Caenorhabditis elegans: one gene and its partners. The protein of the gene in region 3 purifies or fractionates together with the protein of the main gene of each other region. This does not show direct contact. Each region holds a gene or a part of one and is shown on either strand. Other genes may lie near its edges.

Region 1 (4,000 bases), 460 kb from region 3:
TTTCTTTTGTTCTATATTCTCATTCATCTCAATCGGTTTATTTTGGTTTTACTCCACACACAGCCCCGTCCCTCCAATAGTTAATAATGAATTTATTACAAAGAAATTCATAAATATATAGAAATCCCCCCGTTTCATCAAATTTTGTATAATTTTTTATTCTGGAAAATACCCAGAAACTTACAGCAGGGTGTCGTAGTTGTTTCATTTGATTTATTATTGAACTCTAGCTTTATCGATTTTATCAAGTTTTCCCCTCAGCAGATGCAATTTTTCTTCGAAGAACCCACTTGTGATCCTCCCCACACCGCACCCTTTCTTCTTTTTATTCAAAAGATTTTATTCTCAAAAATCTGAATTTTTTGAAAAAATTCGCTTTTTATCCACCACTCTTCCATTTTTCTTGTTCTTTTCCCAAAAATGTTTTATACAACAAACAAAAATTGTGATTTGATTAGTCTTCTCTCTTACAGCTGTCTCCCAATCAATTTTTAATAAAAACACGAAATCCAAAATTAATTATTTATATAATTCAATTATAATTCAGTTTTAGCTAATTTTCAATGGAATAGGCACTTCATCCGGTAGATCATCTCCAAGATCAACATTCACTCCAAGTGCATTGCATAATGAGTAAAGAATAAGTTTAACGTCAGCATGAATTGCAGTTTCCACGATTTTTTCCTGAAAAAAAGGAAAATCATTAAAATATACGAAGCTTCAAGAGAATTTAAAATTGGAATAGCGCCGACGGGAATTTTAAAATACGTAGAATGGTCCTGAATTTCATGATAGAAATTGATTCAGATAGGGAGCCGAAACCAGTGGTTTTTCTCAAACTTTTTGAAATTATTTTTTGGACATTTAGGACAAATCTGCGTATTTTAAAGTAAAATCCCTATCGCCGCAACGAAAACTTTGCGAATGGAAGAATGAACATACATGTGCAGTTTCCTGATAATTAATTGTAGTTGTTTTAATTCCTTTTGATTTTGCATCAAGTGGTAGAGATCCCATTGGAATAATTTCAAGTGATGTTCCAATACAAAGAAGATGAGATGTTTGTTTCCATGCTTTTCGGATTCTGTCCAAATGATTTAAACTGATTTCTGTATCCCAATCGAGAGTTGCATCACGAAGTTTACCACGACACGATCGCCCGGTTCGTTTGTTTCCTTCACAATTACGACCAGTTGGACACAGGCCAACACTCATTACAATTTCCTCTCGTACATATTCACTGTAAAACAATATATTTAACACTTTCGATGAGAAAAGTTTAAGACTTTTCCAAAAAATGTTCTTGTAAATTAATTGATTCTAATATTTGATGCTAAAGTTTTATACTATATATTCCGTTTGTTTTAAAATTGTCAGAATTTAGACGGCGGTTTTTGTGAAGTGAGCTAGAAAAATAAGAACCTTTTTTCTTTATTTTTCACGTTAGATCTTTTTGAAACTTGAAACTTACAATAGACTTGGATGGGTTTTCAATAGTTCCACCGAACCGATTTTTGAGAGAATGCACCTAACTCATTTTATGAAGATGGTCGAGTTTTCCGTGGATTGATTTTTAAAATATACCTAAAACATGATTGACAGACTTCTAGAAATAAATTTCCATGTACTTCAATGAGATCTTCAACTGGAATCCCGACTTTTCGATCCAATCCATCAACATTCTGTGTGATTATCGTTTTGATGTAACCCGCCTTGTGAAGTGCCAATATTGATTTGTGTGAGACTCCGGGACGAGCCTGTCAAAATTTTTATTTATATTTAAGAAATGTTTTTTTTTTATTAAACAACGTACAACTTGAAAGTCCACTCCTTCTGCATGTTTTCCTTCAGCTTGTAATGTCCAAACGCCTTGTTTTCCTCGAAAATCTGGAAGTTTCGATCCAGTGCTCACACCGGCTCCGATAAGAACAAAAATTGGTTTTCCGGTTTGTTTAGCTTGGACGAAATGGTTGTACAAAGTGCGGAGTTTCTCAATTATTTCAGTTTCAGTGTCTCGGATCTGAAAATTTTGAATAAGAAATATTATACTATTGTGTTTAAAAAATCTTTTCTTACTCGAAACGGTTTTGTATTTTGCAGATTTCATTTTTTTTTTGTATTTTATAAAATGTGATTATTCAAAGTTTTTTTTTGGCGAAAAGGGATAATTCTATTATACCTTTTTTTGAACATTTTTGTACTTGCGTTTTGGGCTCAAACTTTTTACGGCTTTAAGATAAATCCAAAGTTCTTTTTTTTTGTTCTTAGCAATTTTTAATTTGAAAAAAAAGTGTGTTTTAAGTGCAAAATCGATGAGAATTTCTTTTTTTTTTCAATTTTTTTAAAATTCAGAATTAATTTTAATACCTCAGGTTTTCCAATTACTCCTTTGTCTGGATAGTCTGATAAAAGACTTTCATAAACTGATGTCATTTTTCTGAAAACAAATTCTTCATTTCTTTCAATTTCTGATAAAACTGGCTAATTTGAAAATCGATGAATTTTCTTCTCTAGCAAGTTGCCTTTTTCGAAAATAAACTCACGAGCCTTGAATCCATACATAATAATTGTATTTTATAAAAAAACACAGTTTTTTATAGGGGAACAGTAAAATTTATTAGTTTTGTACTGACAGTGAGAGAAAAACCATTGAACAATGAGGTAGTGAACGTAGACAGTCGGCTAATACAAAAAAAAGACAATTGAGAAAATTAATAATACTAGTTGATATCTAAATGATTATAACAATGATACAAATCTGAGACATTATAATGAGAGAAAATGGTCGAAGGATTTTCAATATTTAGCACCTTTTTTTAGCATTTTTAGCTGCTTTTATTGAAATGTTGGAATATGAACAGCCGATGCATTCCATAGCTGTTGAGCTAGTTCCTGATCTCCTTGAAATACTGGAAGTTTTGTCAAATTTGCAAGAAGTGGTCCTATTGATCCAAGAAGAGAATCCATTAGAAGATCAAGTGAACCATTTACAGTACCAACTTCATCAGCTCTGGAAATATTTAACGATTTATAAAACTTCAAATTCAGGTTGGTACCTTGTAACAGCAGCAGACCGTACAGCATGAGCCATCATTCGAAATGCAGCTGCAGAATCAGCGGGAGTTGTTCCGAATTCTCGTTCTGGTGATGCATCGACTCTCCTTTTCTCTCCAGTCCACCATCTTGCACGTTTCTCCATTGCACACGGTCGATATGATGCGGAACGATCATTGAGAGGAGATGTCGCTGAAGAAAAGAAAGTATTCAAAAATCTTTTAGATCATGGGCGCCGTCGAAAAAAATCCGATTTTTTGAGGTTTTTAAAGACAACCGATAAATTGAAAACAAATTTCAGAAAATTTACAAAAAAATTCAATTTTATCAGCAAAAACAGAACACATACAATTTTATTCGAAAAGAATCTACAATTTTCGATGTTCTAAAAATTGAAAAAATCAACAAAAAAATTGTTTTTTTTTCGATATTTCGAAAAATCTCTTGAAATTTGGGTAATTTCTCTTTTTCAGAATAAATTTATTTATTTTCTTATGTGTTTTGTTATGCCTTTCAACCCAAAATTTGATCTTTAAAAAATTGAATTTTATGGTTAATTTTTTGAAAATTTTTTTTTCTCGATAACACGCTAGTTTCTGATTGATCACTATCGTTAAACATTTAGAGGACAAAAAACGTACATCTTTTCTTAACATCATCCTCAAATGGACTATAATCTCTATTTTTTCCTCCAGTTCCTGCACCCAAACCATCCTTCTTCCTTTTCGTATACTTTCTTCTTTGTTGTGGAACAGACGATGTTGCAGCAGCATCAAGCGCCATTTGAGAAGCTCGTGCAGCATTTACAGCTGCTTGCTTTTCTTCAACTTCTTTTTGCATTTTTAATCGAATTTTGATATCATTTTTAGAGGGACGTCCAACTTTTCGTTTCAATGAAGGATATCCATCATCTTCTTCTTCTGAAAACTTTGTCAACTTCGATTCA
Region 2 (5,225 bases), on a different chromosome or scaffold from region 3:
GCATGAGAATATAGAAAAATTTTCTGCGAAAAAGCTGACGTTAAATATACGTTGCGTAGCGGTGAGAATGCAGATAAGGGGTCAACGAACAAAACAATAAGGAGAACACATCGAAAATCAAAAGATAATGAAGAGAACGACTCGCCTTTATAGACATTTTGCCGCCATTTGTTTTAATGAACTCTGCTCTTTCTTTTTTCGAGAACGATCGAAAGATCATCAAAACACAGTGTGTAGTTTGATGCCGCGGGTCTCGCAACGCTCCGGTTGAGACAGGTGTGCGCCTTTAAGTATACGGTAGGTGAGAATCCTCACTGAGGATATTTTCAGGCATGGAAATTTTCAAATTAAATGAAGAAAATATCTAAATCAAAATTTAAACCATCAACCTCTGCACAGAAAATTTTTCCTTTCCAAATATACATGGTAGTCTTGCGTCAGATCGGTAATATAGATCTTCCGCAATCTGATGACCTCTTCTTGAAGAAGATCTTCACGTGAAACCCACAGAAATCAGAAAAATTTGTTATTTTCAAATACTGCACGGATACAATCGTGTCTGTGAAAGATCGACCGGAAATTTAAAAAAAATGAGAAAGAAGTCAGAAATATAGTGATAAAAAATGGTAATCAAAACAGGTATCAAACAAAAAAACAATGAAATAAAAATTATTCGACTTTGAGATTGAGTTCTGCGTAGAAAGCTTTGATGAAAACCATCCATTCCTGATCGAGCCCGAGGTCATTATTGAAGCTTGTGAAGAAATCGTTGAAATTTGTGGTATCGTCGAGTCTCACGGCGGCTTGTGCAAGAAGGATGAAGAATTGCGGGAGGAAGAGATTCCGAATCTCCTGAATTTCTTTCCGGTGTACACGCATTGGATCTCCATTAGCACGTGGGCTCAAAAAGTACTCCGGGCGCACACCAATATTGTTAACCAGCCCACGGAGCATCGGAAGAACAGTCTGAAATTTCAATTTTTTAAAATTTTTTTCACAACAATTTATTCTAAAAATCCTACATCTAAATGTTGTTGAACCATTCCAACTCGCGTATTATGCTCGGCGGCTCTCTTTTTGAGCACCTCTTCCCGCAGAGTTTGCTCAGCACGAGCTCGGACTCTCAGTGAAGCTTCCCAGTCAGCAGCTGTGGTGTTGTCGAGTCGTTTGACTCCTCCGATCATGGAAAGCTCATCATCAGTGATCGGTGTGTACTTGAACATGAGCCCAAGTTTCAGAGCAATAGTGATCATGAAGTTGTTCACATCCTGAAAATTCGGATTTTAAAATGGCCAATATGAAATTGAATATTATTCAGCAGCGAAATTTTGAGTACGGGGTCTCGACACGACAAATTTTTGTTCAATACGAGACGGTTTGCACCTTTAAAGATTACTGTAATTTTAACCAGTGGTTAAAGATTCCGCTGATTTGGATAAGAAATCATACCACGAAAGAGCAGAGCCCATAAAATTCCAGAGCCGCGTGTTCGATTTTATTAATTGCCAGCTGCGATCCAGGTTTTTGCTCAAACAGGGTTCCATCAGTGATCAGTGAAAGTACAGTTGCTTCATTTTCAACAGCTTGTGACAATAGCTTAGGAACTTCGAAATGAAGCGCTTTTCGAATAATTTGCCTAATTACAGACTCGTCAATCGGTGTCGACAGCATCACTTTACGAACTAGTCGATTACATTCTTCAAGAGCAGCCAGTGCAGTCTCTTCTCCACCTATCAAAAGCCAATGCCAGTGATCAATCTGCTCTTCCAAAGTTACAACCTTCGTTTTGTCATCTTTTCTGATTTGCTCAATAAGTGTGCACGCACAGCGTCCGAAATCAATGTCAGATTGTTTCAGCGACTCAGCCAGGATTTCACGTTCTTCATCAGAATCGACAGCTGAAAAGAGAATTTTTTTAAAAATCATCATCAGTTTTTAAATTACCTTTCATAGTCTCCACAATCTCTGGAAGCTTCATATCTTCTGGGAGGAATCTTGAATAAAATGCAGCCATTTTCTTGTGTGATGAGGTTCCACTGCGTGCACGAAGATCATCGAATCCAAGAATAATTACAGCATTTCCATCGTCATTTGGTTCGAAACCACTCGCATAAGAAACTGCGACGAGGTGGAAGAAGATGTCGAGTGCGAGCATGTTCACTTGACAATTTTTATCATTTGGAACAAATTCTCCGACTGTTTCATTTGCGAACTTGTACAGATCTTCAATGTCATCATTGAGCATGTCATCGATCACTCGGAGTAGGATGTATACTTCTTTGGTACGATCAGCCTCTGATCTCAGCTCATCTAAGATTGATTTTGAAGTTAGTGGAACGTTGAACAACGTCGAAATAGTTTCCTGTGTCATGGCTCCCTCGGCGGCAAGAATTCTTGCGAGAACTGCAGAATTTGCATATGCCCATACTTTTTCAATCACTGACTTTCCAGCTTTTAGCATTGGTTGGATATTCCCACGAATCGCAGAAATCAGCATCCAGTAAGCATCATCTTCGCTCCCCTGCGATTGTTCTATCAATTTCTGTGTCATCTGGTAGTACTTTGCGCGTCGAGATCTTTTATATTCCCCAAAGTTCTGTTTAGATGCCTCTAGTGGAATATCAAGTGGGTTCCGGAGCATCGAGTGAAGCTGAAGTTGAGCTCCGATCGCTCCCATTCCTAGATCAATGGCTAAATTCGCAGCTTTGGAAGTTTCTCCACTTCGAATTAATTGGAAGAAAACGTTCATCGCCATTTGCTCGAGAGCTTGATCTTCTTTGGTACCAGGAGCATCTGGATCCAGTGAAGCATCTTTTGGAGCATTGGCTGCTCCAAATGTTGGTCGTTTCAAAGCCATCATTGAATTGATTCTAGAAGATTTGATTCCTTCGAGTTTCCGAACTTTGTCTCCAAGACCTTTTTCATATTGCTGTTCGCTGATCGCTTTCTCACTCCAAAGAAGAAGAGCCTAAAAAATTAGAAATTATGTGTTTAATTGAATAAAAAGTCTAAGATCTTACATAAATCCTTCTAAACTCCACATCTTCTACAACTAGTTTGCTAAGCAAAGAAACTTCCACAGTCTCATCATATTCATGAGCCAACGCGGTATAAATTGAAAGAACACTGGCGATTTGCACGGCTTCATTCGCGTATTTTTGTGAACTGGCGGAATAATTAGATCCTGCAGGAAGTTTTCGAGTCTGCATTTCTACTTCTGAATAGATCTGAAAAAATATTACATTTATCAGAGGCCTTTTTCAAGTGAATCAAACCTCATGAAGTCTGGTCCACATAAGTGGCGAGATTTGCCCTTGAGGAATATCGAACTCTCCGAAAGCCAATGCACATAATTCGTGGTACAGTTTTTCTGAGAGATTTGTGTGAACTGCAAATTATATATTTTTAAAATAGTTTTCCTTTCGCATCGAGTGTTAAACTCACAAATTGTAGTGTATTTGAAAGCGGTTTCATTTTTGCGCGCGATTTCATCGTTAGAGTCGTCGAAGGAGTTGGAAGAATTGTCCCCCGAAGCGAACAAGTCTGTCATTGTGCTAAAAATATTTTTTTAAAGGAAAATAAAGTTTTAAAAACTACATGAAACAGAAAAAAAAATCGTTTTACACGACGAAAACCCTTCGAAATTTGAAAATTTTTGCTTAAACGAAAATAATGGTAGTGCGCTCCATTGAGAACACAATGCGCGGACTTTCAAAAAAGAGGGGTTTATTCAGGTTTTCATAACTTTTTTGAAACACAGAAATGGAAGAAATTGCAATTTGAAACTTTTCCGAGTAGTGCCTTTCATCTTCAAATTGTTTAATAAGGTGCAATCAGCTATAAAAAACAAAAATGAGAGCCGACGTTATGGGTTGATGAGAGCTCTTATTTTAAAGCACATCGTATTTTTGCGTTCCAGTAGCAGCTATCCTCTAAATCATCTGTTTTGTGTGCATTGTGACTGTCTATAAATCGATCAATACGTGCTCCTACGCTTGCGTTTGCTACTTACATAAGGATATATTCTTTGAACCACATGTTTTGTGTGAATTGAGACTGTGTATAAGAATGTAAGGAGGAGAGGGGCCGTTCGTATCGTTCGTCTTATGCACAGGCTCAATGCACACAAAACAGGGTATATTGTATACTCAAATTAGAGAAAAACATATGGAGAGGACAATAGACCAAAGTTTTGATTTAATAACTAGAATGGAACCATTTCTGGAGCACTATTTCGTACGAAAAGCTTGCGGCTTTGTGCAATCAATCTCCTAGGACTTTGGCGGCCTGTCCATTTTTGTTATGTTCGAACAATTGAAAAAGTTATTTTTTTAAAAATTCAGGAGAATTCTATAAATTATTTAAAAAGTTATATTCAATATGTTGGACTGCTTTCTGTTTCTAGGGAAGAAACCTACACCTCCTCCTCTAAAAAGTCCTTATAAGGGGACTATAGACCAAAAAAAAGATTCCTTGTAAAAAAATGTTTGCCCTTTTTTGGTACTTCCTTCCTTGGGCTTCTCAAGTGTAATCCATCACATCAATTACACCAACCGACAAGAAAACCAAAAAAAAAAAACGAAAAGATGCTAGTTTTGCATGGGAGCCGTAGTGCACCTCTTCTTTTTCGTCTCTCTTTGTTTCTGCCTCTCCACTCCTTCACCCACTATTTCCAGCTCACCGAGCCATATTTAGTAGCTTCATATCTTTAGTTTATCAATCATATTTGTTAAAATTAATTTCGAGTATTTTCATCGCTAAATACCTGCTTTTCAAAATCGTCGCCACCTATTCCCAAAATCGATCACCGGATTTTTTTCTGCCGACTTCAGTTAAAAGACAACACAAAATGCAATGGTAAAAGGTGAGTTTGGAACAAGTTCTGCAAAAAAAACGAGAGAGAAGACCCCCGAAACTTGATAGTGTGGGAGAGGAGGAGCATAAGAAAGAAGAAAAAAAAGATGTATTGAATTTCGAACATCATGTTGAATTACAACAAAAAATACGCAGATATTTTCAACTTTTTGCGTTTATTAAAAAATTAATGCATATTTTCAAAATGTTTAAAGCCGCTGATAAACGTTCAGATTTAAATTAATGAAAATTTTTACAAATTTCTAATAGTATGCCAATTAAAAATCAATTAGTTTTAGGCTTTCCATTGAAAGTAAACTTTACAGAAAAATCTCAATTTGTACCATTTGGCTTTACATATATTTTTTCAG
Region 3 (7,830 bases):
TTCCGATAACTAGAATGATGATTCCGACAAGACAAGTCCACAGCAACGTTGGAATAGCGTGAGAGTACTTATGTGCAAGAATCAGAAGAACATCTACTACCCCACGACTTTCAAGTGCTGAAACGATTAGGAATTTTATTGAATCCTGTAGTTGAAACTTACCGTTGTATACTTGTTTAGCAGTCTCATCCAACAACTGAACAGTGACAGGAACACGAATCACTTGACCAGTCAACGTGTTCTCAACAGAAATTTGGCATTTCTTTGCATGTTCAGTGAACAGAGCTGCTGATTTGATGTTGAGACGGATGTTATAGAACACATTTGCCTTTGCAGAATGTTTATCACTTGATCTTGAGGTTTTCTCGACCGATACAATATCTCCTTCACATCCAGAAACGACTATGTGCTTCGAGTCGTATGTAGGCGCCCAGATGGAGAGAGCTGCTTCGATTTGATTCATATTTGAGAATACGAGCTGGAAAAAGTAAAATATTAAAAAAAAACTTCGTGTAACTGACCTCCTTCTCCTCGACAATAAATGCGAAATGGAATGGAACATCAATTGTAGCATCATTTACTTGTACTGTACCATCTGAAATCCATTTCGCAGTAATTCTAGCATCAAATTGATCTTTCAATAGTTCCTCGGGAACAACAATTGATGAAGTTGAGACACTCGAATCAAATCGACGAATTTCACACCCATAACCAAAAACTGGGCTGAAAACTGCTGAAACCGTCAGCCAATTGACAGCCGAAATGATCTTCGAACGACGAGTGAAAGCAACTTGACATTCAAATGGAGCACCAATCGCATCAAATGATCGAATTTGATCAGCAGTGCACTCTGAAACAACAAAGATGAGGATGAAATGTGAAACAACAGCAAATCTCACCTCCATAAATTGACGAAACTTTGCTTCCTGAAGTATTATTGGTTGCAGCAATGACAGGAATTACGAATACCGAATGCTCATCATTGCTCACAAACTCTGGTTTCTGACCATCAGGGAAACGAAGAGAAGATGGCAATACAACGGAGATCTTCGAATGAATTGTTTGTTTATCAGCATGAAGTCTGATAAAAGTATTTCCAGCCTTTGTGAGTTGTGCAACTCCGAGATTCTCATCGAGCCAACTGATTCTTCCTTCACTTGAACTTTGAGACGACCAGCGAGATCCGTCTACAGTGAAAATGTTTGATTGAAGACAAATCACATCAGATACAACAAGATCGTTTGCATACTTGTGAGCAGCTCGAGGAAGGATTGATTCAGACGCAGAAAGACGAATAAATGTAGCAATGTGGGTATTTGAAGCATCACCAATTCTGAGAACAGTATCTCCAGCGGTTTTCAGTGTGATTGTCAGTGTCTGATTGCTGTTGGTGGCGACAATATCGGTCAAGTCGAATCTATAAGAATACCGTGAATATCTTGGATCTTAAAAAAACAATTTTCAAAGATCGGAATTTTCCTTACCTATGTGGTCTGAAATTGATACTGTTGGAGGCAGCCGCAAGACGACGACCTCGAGCATCACGTGGAACAACGTTTAGCTGGATTTGGGCTCCAACAGGAAGATGTATGAGTGGAGAATTCTCAAAAGCACTTTTAAGTTCAATTGTTGGGTGAACATCGAGAGAAGCGACACGAGAAACCTGAAAAAAGGGAAAAGTGAATCTACAAAAATATAGCGTTTCTTACAGTCACAGGAATGAGAACAGTTTCATTATCCGGGCTGTTCACATTACGAACGGTAATTGCAGCTGATCCTTCTTTTCCGTTTGTTATCAAATGACCGTCCGCAGAAATGACGATCCGGCTCGAGAAATCAGAAGGAACTGAGAAAGATGCTTGAGACCTGTAAATAATAAAGTTGAATTAATGAAATTAGAGTTGTTTAAAAGGAGAACAATCTGCAAAAATATTCACTTACCATGCAGTGACCATCTTCAATTGAGAATTTGGCGCCACTCTGACAGTATTAATATCCATTTCTGGTTGAACTAATGAAAGTCCATCTTCCACTGTAATTGTTGTTTCAGCGGTGAAAGTAGAGGTTCTTCCAGTGAAATGCTTTCTTGCCTTCTCATTAAGCTCAACAACCGCTTTCACTGTAACCGATCCTCCTCGAATAGCATTGAACCAAATGGCAAATTGATTATCAGTTGGTTCGACTACATCTCCACCGAGGGGATGAGTTGTGAATAGAACAGATGGATCAGAAACGCTCCATGTTACTTTGAACGGGTAAATGGCTCCACCAAAAGCAAATGGTTCTTCGTCTTCAGCTCCGGCGATCACTCCTGAAGAATAAAAAATAATTAATTTTTTTGAAAGAAAAGTGTCACATACCTCTTAATCGTAAGTTTACTCTTCCACCAGTTTCCACTTTCCTGCTTGACGCTGACAGAATAATTCCACCGAGAGAGGCAACACGAAGAACAACAGTATCCAAGGTAACATGACCATCACCAACACGAACAGTTCCGGTAATTGCTGTATATCCAAGTTCTGACGACGTAATAAGTGCATTAGGCTCAATGGATGCAATCATTGAATTATTCAAGGAAAAATCGAGTGGTGGCGTCGGTTGAGGACCTCCAACGACTTCTAACTGAAATTTGGAGTCCGGAATCAAAGTCAATCTTTTTGGTTGCAAGAAAATAGGAGAGAAAATCTGAACGGTGTGTGGTCTAGATGAGAGTACACGTCCTGATGAAGATTTTGATGATGCGGACAGCGATACAGTTCCAATTGAGTTGGCACGAAGAGTGTAGCGAAGTCCGTCAACTTTGGTCAAAATTACATGATTGTTACTTGCATCGAGTTGAGCGTCAGCAAGTGGACGATGTTCTTTTTCGAATGAAGCTCCAGTTTCGTCTTGAGCCAGAATCTCTACTTCAACTTCTTGTCCAATTTCCACAAACTGCGGTGCGTCAATCGCCAATGAATGAATATCAGCAATTCTTACGGAAGCATCGGCATGTTGCCCAACCAAACAAGCATCAGAAATACGAAGATTCACTTGTCCATTATTCTTCGGCGTAACTGTGAGACTTCTTGCACGGAGAGCAATTGCAACTGGTGAATCTGATGTTGGCAGATTATCGACATGGAAATGGCCAGATCCACCAGTTATAGTGAACGTTCCTTTTGAGACAGCTTCATTCCAAAGAACGAGACGTGCTGGTTCGACGTTCAATCCTTTTTTCACTGTGATTTCATATTTAGTGGAGAGAGATCCAGCTTGAGCTTGAATAGTAACTTGGCCTTCTTTCTATAAATATATTTATGTGAAAAAAAACTTAGTTTTCAGAATCAACTCACCTTTCCAGAAGTCGCATCTGCCTCAATTCCATGACGATTAACCGTCAAAAGACCAGAATCAGAAGTAGTCCATTTCGGTGAAAGCCCGTTGATTGAGGCCAACGGAGTTGCAGCTCCATTACAAACTCCTGATCCACGGAGAACGAGTTCTACATTTGTATTGATAAGCATTGAATGAACATTCAATGGGCACTTGGATGGACGTTGTTTCTTGTCAAAAATTTCAAGACGAGTTGGCTTTGCGCAACAAATCGAAACTGTAATTTCAGAGTGAATTGGAAGTGGAAGCGTTGACGATTTGAGGTTTCCAATACGAAGACGAACAGCTTCTGTTACTTCTGAAGATCCACACTTGAACAAAACTTTTTCGTTTTCAAATGTGACTTGAAGTTGCGATTGCTTTGTTTCTTGTGTTTTGTAAAAGTTTGCTGGATCCAAAATCCACGGTCTTGGTCCACCAGACACAGTCAATGGGTGAGTACTTCCGAGTGCAATTGATGAAGATTCTTCGGAAATAGACAATTTCTCGTAGACTGCTACATCGATGCTCGCTTTGTGGCCCAAATAACTGATGGACACTCGGGCATCTCCTGATGACAGTCCTTTGAAAGTTATTGTTCCACAACCAGTGCCCATCATTGGAAGCGACGAATCAGCTGAAGACTCGTGCCGAAGCAACGCATTATCCGTAATTTGAACATGAGCACGGATATTTCGACAATCGGACATTTCAACTAAAAGTCCATCAGATGTGAGTCCGGTTGCCTTGATATTTAATGTAAGAGTATCTCCGACGAATGTCTCACGGACAGTTTCTCCAAATCCGATTCCAGACACTTCGAGAATATGAACACTGGCAATGTCACGAAGCTGATCATTTCTCTTATCAGTTGCTTTCACTTTAGTGCTTCCTAATGAATTCGCAGTCATTCTTCCAGTTAGCAGATCCACCGTTGCCACGTGTCCATCTTCAGAAGTCCACTCAAACAATCCACTGCCTCCAGTTGCTGTTAGATCAATTTGTGATCTTTTCTCAGATACGAATGGCAAATAGATAACCGGTGGAACAATTCTCACAGGATCAACGATAGTTACTCGCTGCTCTCCGCCAATTTTGCCACTTTGTGCAATTCGATTTCCCTTGGCATCAATAATAGCAACAAATTTGGTTCGAAGAGTAGTTTTTGAGGGTTTCAGTGGAGTCACAAGGAACCAGGTACCATTCTCAGACTTGAAATCCACATGAAGAAATTGCTCATCGATATGAGTGTCGAAACGGGAATTCTGAAAAGTTGTAAAATTTAAAAATTGACAGCTGTTTTTTGTTCAATTTTTCAGAGCTTAACTTACATCAGCAACAAACATAACATTTCCGTGCTCATCAAGAAGTTCAACGTTGATTGTATACTGTTTTCCGGTTTCTAGCATCCAATTATCTCCTGAAACATGCCATTGGACAGATTCGGCGTCTACCACATGAATGACAGTAGATGGTGGACGTAATCCAGCTTTAGCGCGCACATCGACATCTGAAAAATTCTTTTTGAACGAGAAACATCCATTTATGCAACTCACGGCTGCTCAAGAGATGTACTGCAGTGTTTCCAATCGTCAGAGCTCTCACAGATGAACTTTTTTTATCGAGCGACGCCACATCACCACCATCAATTTGAAGTTCGTATGACGGATTAGGCATGTTCACTATTTCTGTTCCACGCTGCTTGACAATTAAAACTTGGAATGGAAGAACTGAGTGAACTGGCAAGTAAACATCTTGAGATGGAACCAAAAGTAAATTTGCGACGACGGCGAGTTCGACGTTGTGCGCTGCTACTTTCTGAAAAAAAAAACATCCTAGGTAAATGTAGTTTTGCAGATTGCTCACCTGCAAATAAGCATCACTGAACTTGGTTGTCAATGTGGCTGTTCCTGTTCCAACACCTTCAATCAGAATTAGATATCCTTTCTTTCGATTCTTTTCCAGTTTAACAATTTCAGAAGGAGCTTCATATGTTGATTGCTCGAATGGAACAATTCGTAGTGGTTTCGCTTTATTTGAAGATGTTGATGCAAGCTCCCATTCCAATGCAATTTCACTGAGAGTAGAGAATCGATCGCCATCGGCGTTAAATGCGTCAACAGTCATTCGAGCAGGGGCAGCGTCCACGAATAGAACTTTCGTTGTTGTTTCGATGCTAATAGTTGCGATCTCATCTACTGTCACGCCGCAACTCAATGTTGTGCCGGATCCTTAATAAAAATTTTAAAACCAACATTTCACAAAAATTATACCTTTATCTTCTGCAAAAATAACAGCAGACAATTCCGAACTTCCAACAGTTCCAGGCTTCGCAACCGATCGAATTTCAGCTTTATCCGAACATCCAGCTTCGTTAGTTTCGATACGTTTAACAGAGACAATATCGGGACGAGTAGATCTCCTGCAATTAAATATATTAAAAAATAATTAGATCATTTCATTGAGTTACCATGTAAAACAACCTCCGGTTGGATGCGTTACTTCCAGCACAAATGAAACTGGGACCGTTGGATGGTACGGTAATAAAACTCGAGGAACATTTAGCCGGTATGATATTGTGATTTGCACTAAAGCCAAAACGAGCAGTGATCGAAGTATAATCATTGATCTATTCGGCTCTCCTACCTACAAAAAAATTAATGAAAATTTCTCTTATGGAAAAGGAAAACAGGTGGAGATGAGAGAAATTTATGTATTTAATATAAAAGTTAAAGTTAATTAACTATAGTGATCATGCATTAAATAAATAGTAGAATAAAAAATAAATTTAGCGATAACTCAGATCGGATTGAAGAAAAAAGAAACTGAAATTCTGCGAAAAAATTCAAAATTATTTCGTTGTACGCAAACACGGCGCGGTTCTTCACGACAATGAACCAATTTGGTGACCGTAGTTCATAATTCTAGATTCGGAATCTGAAGAAAAAGCGTAATTGGGGAAAAAACATGAAAAAACATGAAATTAATACCGTGAAATAAAATGCGCTTTTTTCCTTCTCGATCAAAGATATATTCATATTACCTCAAAAAAAATTTTACCTAACAAATTTGCTCGTAGATCTCTTTGTTATGGTTTTTTCCTGATATTTTCATTTCGACACATATTGCGACAACACGTGTTTTCATCAGCAGAAATTATTTGACAGTTATTTATTTTAAGTTACTTTATGATATTTTCAATAAAACGTGCTCAGAAAGTGCACAATGAGACGTTTCTTCTCGAGTTTCTATGTCTCCAAGACCCGGTTTACGAAAACCCGTGTTGTCTCGAATTATTGCAAGCGCGCTCCACTGCACTTCCATTTTTGCGCGAAGAAATGTTTTTGCAGTTTTCCTTGAATTTTTGTGGGGTTTTCAGAAAAACACTTTTAAAGGCACAATTTTGTATTTTACGTTAAGATTTTCCTAACACGTTCTTTTTTCCAATATTTTCAAGCCAGAACTGTTTTATTTCACGACAATTATTGCAGGATGGCATCGTTTCGTAAGAATCACGTCATTATTGATTCCTCAGACTCGTCGGAAGACGAGGATCGCAAGGTTTGTTCGAGTTTAACATTTGAATTTTGCTTTAAAATTATTGAATTTCAGGAAAGACACAGCTCCTCATCTGAAGTCGATGAAACAGCTTCAATGAGATCAACTGATAGCTCCGAGCCGCCCAGGACAATTATTGATGCCTCTCTGAATTCCATGGCTTCAACCGTGTACACATCAACTCCAAACTCCAAGCAGAGCATCTCCAGAACCGGTTCCTCCACCACCTACGGGAGCTCTAAATGCTCCACAGACGATCACTATCGTTCGAGAAGCTTCATTGACAACAGCTTCGAAAAACCAGTGACCCCGATCACCAAGAAGCTACAGGAATCCGATGAGCCCCGCGCAAAGCAGCAGCTCCGTGAGCGGCTCCTCAGAAAATCCATCAAACAGCAATCGGATCAAGATCTGACAGGTGGCTCATCGCGAAGTGGATGGGGAACTGGTGAAAATAGCAGTCTTGAAAGCAGTGATCTCATAAATTCGCATTTTTCGCCAATTGCGAAGACGTTCCGGCATGCTTCCGATTTGGATGATTCAATGGTAAGAATGGGGAAACATTGACCTAAAGCTGGCTCAAAATTCAAAATTTCCTTTTACTTTTTTCCGATATTTATCCAAAATTTCACATTTTACTTGCCAGAAATTATCTAGAAAACGATTTTTCAAGCGAGAAAATCACTTTTTGCAAGTTTTCAAGCCAACGTCTGACGTGTTTAACCAATTTTCGCCCAACGGAATCGGCTAGTGCTTCGGTATGTGACATAGTAAATTGATATTATTATCTATATCCTCTTTTTCGATATTTTCACAAAATTTCAGCTTTATTGTCAAAAAATATATAAATTTACAGAATACCTCTCCGCCGCCAAACCGTTCAACTCTTCCCTCGGTTGAAACAAGTTCTGGAAATTC

Evidence for each region. The genes of interacting proteins can lie anywhere in the genome.
Region 1: the proteins of npp-12 (region 3) and sir-2.4 fractionate together in Caenorhabditis elegans (co-fractionation; one large-scale study listed by BioGRID). This does not show direct contact.
Region 2: the proteins of npp-12 (region 3) and npp-5 fractionate together in Caenorhabditis elegans (co-fractionation; one large-scale study listed by BioGRID). This does not show direct contact.

The regions. Positions count from the first base shown.
Region 1 is NC_003279.8:5,989,178-5,993,177, reverse strand, and holds sir-2.4 (NAD-dependent protein deacetylase sir-2.4), read right to left. Parts: upstream 2,438-4,000; 5' UTR 2,434-2,437; coding exon 2,368-2,433; intron 2,021-2,367; coding exon 1,814-2,020; intron 1,758-1,813; coding exon 1,585-1,757; exon of another isoform or gene 1,472-1,584; intron 1,241-1,471; coding exon 943-1,240; intron 685-942; coding exon 550-684; 3' UTR 512-549; downstream 1-511. Other genes in the region: C06A5.3 (PWWP domain-containing protein), read right to left, coding at 2,836-3,010, 3,057-3,246, 3,696-3,974. UniProt on the Caenorhabditis elegans protein: NAD-dependent protein deacetylase.
Region 2 is NC_003280.10:11,596,256-11,601,480, forward strand, and holds npp-5 (Nuclear pore complex protein 5), read right to left. Parts: upstream 3,555-5,225; 5' UTR 3,551-3,554; coding exon 3,445-3,550; intron 3,389-3,444; coding exon 3,276-3,388; intron 3,228-3,275; coding exon 3,021-3,227; intron 2,969-3,020; coding exon 1,945-2,968; intron 1,899-1,944; coding exon 1,450-1,898; intron 1,269-1,449; coding exon 1,023-1,268; intron 967-1,022; coding exon 670-966; 3' UTR 512-669; downstream 1-511. UniProt on the Caenorhabditis elegans protein: Involved in kinetochore assembly and chromosome segregation during embryonic mitosis.
Region 3 is NC_003279.8:6,445,481-6,453,310, reverse strand, and holds the start of npp-12 (BIG2 domain-containing protein), read right to left. Parts: upstream 6,008-7,830; 5' UTR 5,980-6,007; coding exon 5,825-5,979; intron 5,777-5,824; coding exon 5,628-5,776; intron 5,586-5,627; coding exon 5,221-5,585; intron 5,173-5,220; coding exon 4,911-5,172; intron 4,865-4,910; coding exon 4,686-4,864; intron 4,620-4,685; coding exon 3,336-4,619; intron 3,286-3,335; coding exon 2,361-3,285; intron 2,312-2,360; coding exon 1,942-2,311; intron 1,867-1,941; coding exon 1,710-1,866; intron 1,664-1,709; coding exon 1,485-1,663; intron 1,418-1,484; coding exon 900-1,417; intron 851-899; coding exon 522-850; intron 479-521; coding exon 163-478; intron 118-162; coding exon 1-117. Other genes in the region: T23H2.3 (Transcription termination factor 2), read left to right, coding at 6,847-6,915, 6,967-7,458, 7,769-7,830.